Linked DNA regions of Caenorhabditis elegans. The protein of the gene in region 2 purifies or fractionates together with the protein of the main gene of each other region. This does not show direct contact. Each region holds a gene or a part of one and is shown on either strand. Other genes may lie near its edges. The genes, in order: Y47D3A.21 and C11D2.7.

What was found.
Region 1: the proteins of C11D2.7 (region 2) and Y47D3A.21 fractionate together in Caenorhabditis elegans (co-fractionation; one large-scale study listed by BioGRID). This does not show direct contact.

The regions. Positions count from the first base shown.
Region 1 is NC_003281.10:11,275,565-11,280,553, forward strand, and holds Y47D3A.21 (Density-regulated protein homolog), read right to left. Parts: upstream 3,354-4,989; 5' UTR 3,353-3,353; coding exon 3,262-3,352; intron 2,833-3,261; coding exon 2,530-2,832; intron 1,404-2,529; coding exon 1,219-1,403; 3' UTR 733-1,218; downstream 1-732. Other genes in the region: Y47D3A.20 (uncharacterized protein), read left to right, coding at 235-356; gly-9 (putative N-acetylgalactosaminyltransferase 9), read right to left, coding at 4,190-4,330, 4,892-4,989.
Region 2 is NC_003282.8:6,153,904-6,157,387, forward strand, and holds C11D2.7 (PUA domain-containing protein), read right to left. Parts: upstream 1,494-3,484; 5' UTR 1,490-1,493; coding exon 1,424-1,489; intron 1,378-1,423; coding exon 1,153-1,377; intron 1,086-1,152; coding exon 819-1,085; 3' UTR 721-818; downstream 1-720. Other genes in the region: C11D2.3 (BLOC-1-related complex subunit 5), read left to right, coding at 323-520, 567-720; C11D2.4 (Queuosine 5'-phosphate N-glycosylase/hydrolase), read right to left, coding at 1,773-1,943, 1,997-2,657, 2,738-2,832, 2,881-2,988.

The DNA.
Region 1 (4,989 bases), on a different chromosome or scaffold from region 2:
TTATCTTATACAATTTCCAAAAATTCAAAAAAAAAGTTCGAAAAAAAGTGCGCGGCGGACTTGCAATAGGCTCCGCCCCTTTTCTGACTGAAAATGGTAGATTTTCAGTTTTAAAAAAATTAATTTAAGTTTAAAAAACTGTATTTTTTGTAAAATTTTCAAAAAAAATCCAAAAAAAGTGCGCGGCGGACTTGCAATAGGCTCCGCCCATTTATCGATTTTTTTTCTCTACAGAAATGCACGAATACCGTATGTCAAAGCTTCGAGAAAGTCTCAAAGACGCCCGGAAAACCAATTGGATTCACGTGGGAAACGCGTTCCGAGACCCACTTCCACCGCATTCGTCGAAACCTTAATTAAGCTCCGCCCACTTTTTATTGATTTTTTTTTGCGAAAAAATTATTTATTTGTATATCTCTATGCTTATTTGAATCTCATTGTCTATTTGAAATAAATATTCTGAAAATTAAATTTTTTTAGAAATTAAAAAATTATGGAAATTGTGTCCAAGAGGACTACAAAATTGGGATTTGACTTTGCATTTTTCGACTATTTTTTTTGGTAATATTTTCCGAGAGGACTACAAAAGTTAAGCTTTTTAAAAATAGATTTCCTCCAATTTAAGCTTTCTTGTAGTCCTCTCGGACAAAAAAAATTCAAAATTTTTCTGTGGTTTGTCCGAGAGGACTACAAAACTCTAATGTTTAATGGTTGTTGAAAATATTCAAAAAAAAAGTGTAATTTATGGAAATCAGAAAAAAAGAGCGAGAAACATGAAAAATCGATGGAAAAAATCAAATTAATTAGCAGGAAATATGGAATAACCGGAGATAGAGAAAAATTGTAACAAAAAATTCAAAAATTGAAAAAAAAAACAATTTTTTTAGTTGAAAACCTAATATTTTAGTGTATTTTTTAGATTAAACAGTTTAAAACAATATTGATTTTCAAGAAAAAATTCTTAAAAATCGATAATTTGAAAAAAAATTATCGATTGTCAAGAAAAAAATTCTAGAAAAATCGATTTTTTAATTTTCAATTTTTAAAGATTTTTTTTAAAAATTCGATTTTTGGGATTTTTTTTTTTCAAAAGTTGATTTTTTCGATTTTAGAGAATTTTTTTTGCTGTTTAACCTAAAAAAATACACCGAAAAATTGAATTTAACAGAGTAAAAAATGTTTTTTTTTTCAAATTATCGATTTTTCAGCCAAAAAAATTTATCGTTTCTTGTCTCCGAGATCATCAATCTGCTCATCGGTCACTTGCTTCCATTTCTCGGGAATCAAATCCAAAAGATCATCCTTCACATCTCCCTGAATCACAATCTCATCGGCTCCGGTGACTGACGAGCCGCACGCGAATTTCTGGGCGAACAGCTTTGAAGCCACTTTTAGATCGATGTCTGGAAAATGTTTGGAATTTTTCGAAAATTTTTACGAATTTTATATTGTAAATTTCGAAAAAATCAATAATTAAATGATTTTTACTCCAAAAAAATAAAAAAAACCACAAAAAATTTGAATTCTCACTAAAAACTTGTCCAAAAATACTACAAAACTCTCTTAGAGGACTACAAAAATTCAATTTTTATGTCCAAGAGGACTACAATGGGGATTTCGCTTCAAAATCGAAAATACCTTTAAATTTGAAAAAAATCGTGTTTTTTTTTCAATTTTGACAAAATTCCCTTCAAAATGAGTATTGCGACCAATCCGCGATTCACTTCTCCCTTTTTTGAATCTGATTGGTTCAAAAGTGGGCGGAGCAAATCGCTGATTGGTCGCAATACTCATTTTGAAGGGAATTTTGTCAAAATTGAAAAAAAAACACGATTTTTTATCAATTTGAAGGTATTTTCGATTTTGAAGCGAAGTCCCTATTGTAGTCCTCTTGGACATAAAAATTCCATTTTTGTAGTTCTCGAAGAGAGTTTTGTAGTATTTTTGGACAAGTTTTTAGTGAGAATTCAAATTTTTGTGGTTTTTTTTAAGAAAAAAAAACCAATTTTTAAAAAAACATCAGAAATCTAGATTTTAGGTTAAAATTTGTGAAGAACTAGTTTCTTAAAAGCATTTTTTGTCCGAGCGAACTACAAAAGTTGCAAAAAATTTTTTTAAAAAAACTACTTCTTCACAAATTTTAACCTAAAAAATCTAGATTTTTAATTTTTTAAAAATAAAATTGCTGCTCCGTACTAAAAGTGGTTTAATTTTCAAAACTTTTTGTATGTATAAAAACTCCGAAATTTGAATTTTGTAGATTTTTCGACAAAAAATTGGCATTTTGCTGGAATTTTGGTTAAAAACTGCGGTTCTAAAAAAAGAAACAAAAAAAAATTTTGTTTTCATTTTTACCTAAGTTTACGTTTTTGTCTGAAAAAAAAATTACAACAGTTTTTGATTTTTGGTAGAAAAAAAATCCTCAAAAACTCAGCAATTCTATGCAAATTTCCAATTTTTTCTTCCTAAAAAACTGTAAAATTTAATTTTTTTCAATTTTTCTGAAACTCTTCGAATTTTACTCCATACCAAAAGTGGCGAGACCCTTAATAACAGTGACACTCTTCTTTCCACGTGGCTCCCGTTGCAACGTCACTTTCTGTGGTCCACCGCCCTTCTTTTTTCCGCCGGAAGCAGCAGCCTGAGCAGCAGCGGCTCCAGTTTTTGAGCCCTTTCCTCCACGCTTCTGCTTCTTTTTCTCATCACCGTCGGCTGCTGGTTCATCGGAAATTTCAAGACCTTCGAGAAGTTCTGGAGCATTTTGAGTGGCCCAAGCACGACAGACGTCCGTTTGTCCCGAATAGTCACAGTATTCTGGTGGCATTGAGCATTCTGAATAATTTTTTTAGCTTTTTTTTCGAAATTTTCAATTTGGGGAAAAACATTTTGTTCTCGTTTTTTTCCGATTTTTTGTTGCAAATTTTCGCCTATTTCTGCAAAAAAATCTCGATTTTTTCTCATTTTTTTCCTATTTTTTTTGTTCTGCAAAAATCTCGATTTTTTTAAATTTTTTTTCCTATTTTTTTGCAAAAAATCTCGATTTTTTTAAACTTTTTGACGAAAAACTCCGAATTTTGAGTTTTGTAGATTTTTCTGAAACTTTTAAAATAATTTTTATCGAAATATTTGCAAAAATCGATTTATTTTCAGATTTTTCAACCAAAAAAAATTTTTTTTTTCAAGATTGTTATCAAAACAGGACTACAAAACTCGATTTTTTCCCAATTTTTTTCAAACTTTCAGCCAAAAAAATCAACTCACGTCCACAATAAACCATTTTCAATGGATAAGAAACTCCATCAATTGGCCCTGGAGCCAGAGATTGAATAACAGCAGTCTCACCGTCAGACATTCTATAAAAAATCGATTTAAAAAATGGCTCAAAAAGCTAATAAAAATATAATTTCCCGAGGAAAAACGGGATTTTCGGGTAAAAATTGAAAAAAATTTTTTTTTCACCATTTTAACCACGAAAAATGCAAAAAAATGCAATAAAATACAATAAAATCACATAAATACAACGAAAAAACCCAGAAAAACCGAAAAAAAGAGTATCACAGAACAAGAAATTTGGGGAAGCAAAGTGAATTGGAGCCGTAAATTGACTAGGAAACAGGGGAGAAAATTCAACATTTTTTGGCAATAAATACAAATTTTTGTGACCCAACCGTCTTGTCCGAGAGGACTACAAAATCAGAAAAAATTCGAAAAAATTGATTTTGTAGTCCTCGTGGACAAGTTTTTGAGATTTTTTCTCGAAAAATTGATTTCGATTTTTAGGAAAATTAAGATTTTGATTTTTCGCGAAAAAAAACTTCAAAAAAGTGGAAAACTAAAAGAAAAACTTGTCCACGCGGACTACAAAACTCGATTTTTTTTAAAATTTCCTCCAAAAGGAGTACAAAGCTTAATATTCAAATATTCAACGTTTTTAAAAAACCTCGTTTGAATTTAAAATTTAAAAAATATTTAATTTTTCGAAAATTCTGAAAATTGTTGTCCACGAGGACTACAAAACGGCCTAACCGGAGGAAAAAGGAATGGAAAGTAAAAAATTTGGAATTTCAATGAAAATTAGTTAAAGCGTTAAATTAAAAAGAAAAATGAATAAGTTATTATGAAATTTTCAGAATTTTTCCGATTTTTTCAAGAATTTCATCTGAAAATCAGCGGCGGACTTTTTCAAATTTTAAGCTTTCGCCGGATCGATAAAATTCCATTTCTGATGTTCATCCTTTTCATCACATTCGACAACGATTGCATTGTCGCCGGGCTTCAAGTTGGCTGTTGACATGCATTTTCCACTTTTCAGATTTCGAATCATTTTATTCTGAAAAATTCGGATTTTTTAACGGAAATTTGGTCCAATTTTCGACAAAAAAAGTATTTTTGAATTCTAAAAAAAAATTAAAAATATCGATTGAAAAAATGAATTTATCGATTTTTTTGCAAAGAAAAAGTCGATAAAAAATAAGTTCATTGATTTTTTATCGAAAAATTGCAGAAAAATTAAATTTATTCATTTTTCTTTGTAAAAATCGATAAAATTGGATTCATCGATTTTTATTTGCGGAAAATCGATGAAAAATAAGTTTATTGATTTTTTTAATAAAAAAAATCGATAAGAATTGGATTTATCGATTTTTCTGAAAAAATGATTTTTTTAAAAAATCTATTTTTCTATAAAAAAAATCGATTAAAAAAAATAAATTTATCGATTTTTTGAAACAAAAAATGGATAAAAATGGGCTTATCGGTTTTTTAAAAGAAAAATGTCGTTAAAATTAAATTTATTGATTTTTTTTAAAAAGAAAAGTCCATAAAAAATTAAATTTTGATTTTTGAGCGATTTTTTGCGGTTTTTTTCGAAATTTTTCCCATAAAATCTCACCTCATAAGCCCAACGCTCGTTAAATTGTGCTTTTTTCGAGCAAGTTTTCATCCGAATATTTCCATTTTCTTCAGAAGCACACGTATTCTCTCGTCGAA
Region 2 (3,484 bases):
AAACCGCCCCGCCTCCCACAGTTGGGTCTCGTATTAGGTGCCAAGACTGTAAATTTAAACTTTTCAGTTAGTTTTGCCGATTTTGTCAGCTATCAAACATTTTTGTTATTTTTTCTGTTGTTTGTTAAATGATTTTCGTGCCGAATTAATTGTTATAAATGCATGTTTAGGCCAGCAGGAAACACATCAAAATAGACGGAGAATGATTAGAAAATGGTAATAATTATATTTAGAAATCGCTCGAATTTTCAGTTTTCCCGCCAAATACCTAGCGAGATAATATTTGCTCATGTGTACTTTAATGCAAAAATAATTTTTCCAGGAACATTGAGCAGCAGAATAATAAAATCAGTGAGGCTCTTGGATGCTTGGCTGTTTGCAATGAAGTAACCGAGAAGTATCAATGTGCTCTGGACAATTCTTTTCAGGTTTTAGTCGATGATTTCTCGGAGAAAGCCTTTAAGTTGAGCAGCTTGACAACTCAACTTCACGCATTACGACAGACTCATCACGCGAATCAGTAAGTGAAGTTTGTTTTGTTTCGCTCTGATGTTGAGAAATTGCAGGCAAGTTCGCAAAAATGAGGAATCTCAACTGGAAGAAATAGCGTGGCGTATTGAAAGGGAAGAAAAGAGAATCAAGAAACTCGACGGAAAACTTTGGAAATTTTATGAGAATCGAGATGGAAAAGGAAAAGATACAACAAAAGAAAGTGCATGAAAATATAAATTAAATCCCAAAATGGACATATAAAATAAAGATCATCTCAAATTATTGGAAGTCTGATAAAGAGCACGACGACCGGGAATTCGAGCACATCAGTTCAACGATTTTTCAGCCAAGTGCCACAGCCCATCGTTCAAATAATGAAGATTTTCAATTCCGTTTCCTTTATTCACAGATTGAATTTCCTCACTGCTCATTGACATCAAACCAATTGCCAACGCATGTTGCTTTCCTTCAGCCATCACAGCAACCACTGAATCCTTTGGTACGAGAGGAGTGAGTTTAGCTCCTGGCGATGTTAATCCAGGACACATTATTGAAGATCCGTTCAGGATGAATTTGATGGCACCTTTGTCGACCTGAAATTTGAATTTTCATCAATAAATGGAAATGTTGAACCAGGTAAATAATCAATTTATAACCAACCTGTTGATGTGGAAGAATGAATGGATACTTGTGAAGTGTTCTCAAAGTTGGAATGTAATCAGTGTTACGTGTTTTAACAAATCGCACGACACCCAGATGATCGGCGAGCAATTCAATGTGATCCTTGCATTTGATCACTTTGAAATTCTCCTTTTTCGGGAGGATCTCCTCAAGATGTGGCTCCAAGTAGGGGAAGTTCTCGATCAGCTTCTTGCGAATTCCTTTCTAAAAATTTTTATAATTATTAGTTAATTAAAATTAAAGATGATACCTGAACACTGGACTTGAGCTGAGTAGCGCCTGTCACATCTTCCTTCTCGTCGAATTTTTTGAACATGGTTCTTGAAAAAAAATTGTAAGATTTGAACTAAATGAAAACAAGGATAAGTTTAAAAAATTGGTATACAACCAAAACAAAAGAATTCAGCAAAATAAAAACAATGTTAAAATTCATATAACAAATTAAGGCTCAAAGTGAAGTGTCAATGGAATGTGTTAAATAAAGTATTTAAAACCTGTGAAAGAAAAAAAACACGGAATGAAAACAGAAGATGATACGAAAAGCTAAAATCACTAGAATTCACACTAAAAATTAAATACTAATATTTACATATACAGATTTAATAATAAATACAGCGAGTCCTGTGGAACGGGACTTTCTTTTCAACATCCGCAGCATAAAGTCGACGATATCCCCAGACATAGACATCAACTTCCATGGCGTTAACTTCACAAACATCAGAGAATCTTGGATCGGTTTCACGAAGTTCGTTCATCTTGGCGACAATTTCCTGAAAATTTAGCGTTTAATACAACAAAATTTCAGAAATATCTGGAATCTTACATCGCAAACTGCAATAGATGCTCCTCTGAGTTCAACTTCCGCTTTTGATCCATTCTCCAATCGTTTTCCTTCACCCAATTGGCTCAAAAGTTCTTCTGAATAATCCAGAGCACCAAGATAAGCGAGAGCTTGCGGAACACGATAGTCAGCAAACATTGTGATCGTGGTAATATCCTTGAAATTTCCCGCATCATCGTGACCTTGAAGGGATCCATAGACATCCGCAACGAGAATCTGTGCTCTCTTCAGAAGCGAAACTTTTTGTCCGTTGAATTCGGCAAAATCGCGGAAAGAGACAAAGTTTTCGACGATTAATTTCAGCAAAGTTTGAGCGGATTTCTCTGATTTTATAACACAATTATAAAATTGTCCATCGAATTTCTCGAGAAGAACTTTTCCTGAATCATTGATAGCCTTCACTCGATCGTCAAGTAGTGGAATTGAGTGTCCTGAATCGGATTTGAAAATCCTGTCGATTTCTTCTCTGCCAACATTTTTCATCCATTCAGCAGAAAGTACTGGAATTCCGGCGGCTATAGCCTTGTTGACAGCGGCACATGCTGCGAAGTAACCAGTGTAAGCTTTTCCACCCCAGCTAACATCATAGTGATCTCCCTCATCCGGCCAGAATGAGAAATTGATTGTATCCACCAATAATACCCTGAAATTAATTCAATTTAATATGATTTCAAATTTAAAAAGATCAGATTTGAGGAATAGTTACAATTTAAGTTTTCTCACCACTGGACGGCATCTTTATCTCCACTTTTCGGGTGTAATTCCGGCGATAAGAAAAGAGCTTCTTTCAGAGATCCATCTTTTGCAGCTCCGAGAATCTATAAATATTAATCTACATTCATTCAACATTTATTTTTAGGATTTACATGTTCTGCTACTTTTCGAACGCCTGCCTGGTTGATTTTGACGAGATTTCCATGCTCGACGATGAATTTTCCAGATTCCGCAGGACCGAGGACTTCGTCAATAAGCATTTTCTGACCTAAAAAGTGAAAAATATGTGACAATTCTACCGAGTAGTAAAAAATGAAAATAAAAATTTTAAAGAGAAAAACGTGTTTGTTACGACGCTCCGCAGATGTGTCTCTGCGTCTCCTCCTTCTGCACAGTGCCTAGCAAATTGTCGTACGTTAAAGTGTCGTGTACGCAATGCAGACTGAAACACATTTTATTTCTCGACAAAAAATGCTGTATTTTTATATTTAAAAAATTAAAGTCGTCGTTTTACAGCTTTTTCAGATGTTTTAAAAAGTATTTCTTTAACTAAAAATCAATTAAATTACCCACTAATAGTTTCGCTAATAAAAACATTTTTCTTGATTAATCGTACAAAATTAAGGACTACATTGGAAACCTGAAAAGAAAACATCTGAAAAATTTTATATACGAAACCAATAAAAATCTGTTCATTCGGTGAAAGCACAATTAATATTCGTAAAGCGTTTTTGAATACCTCGTAACAATATAACC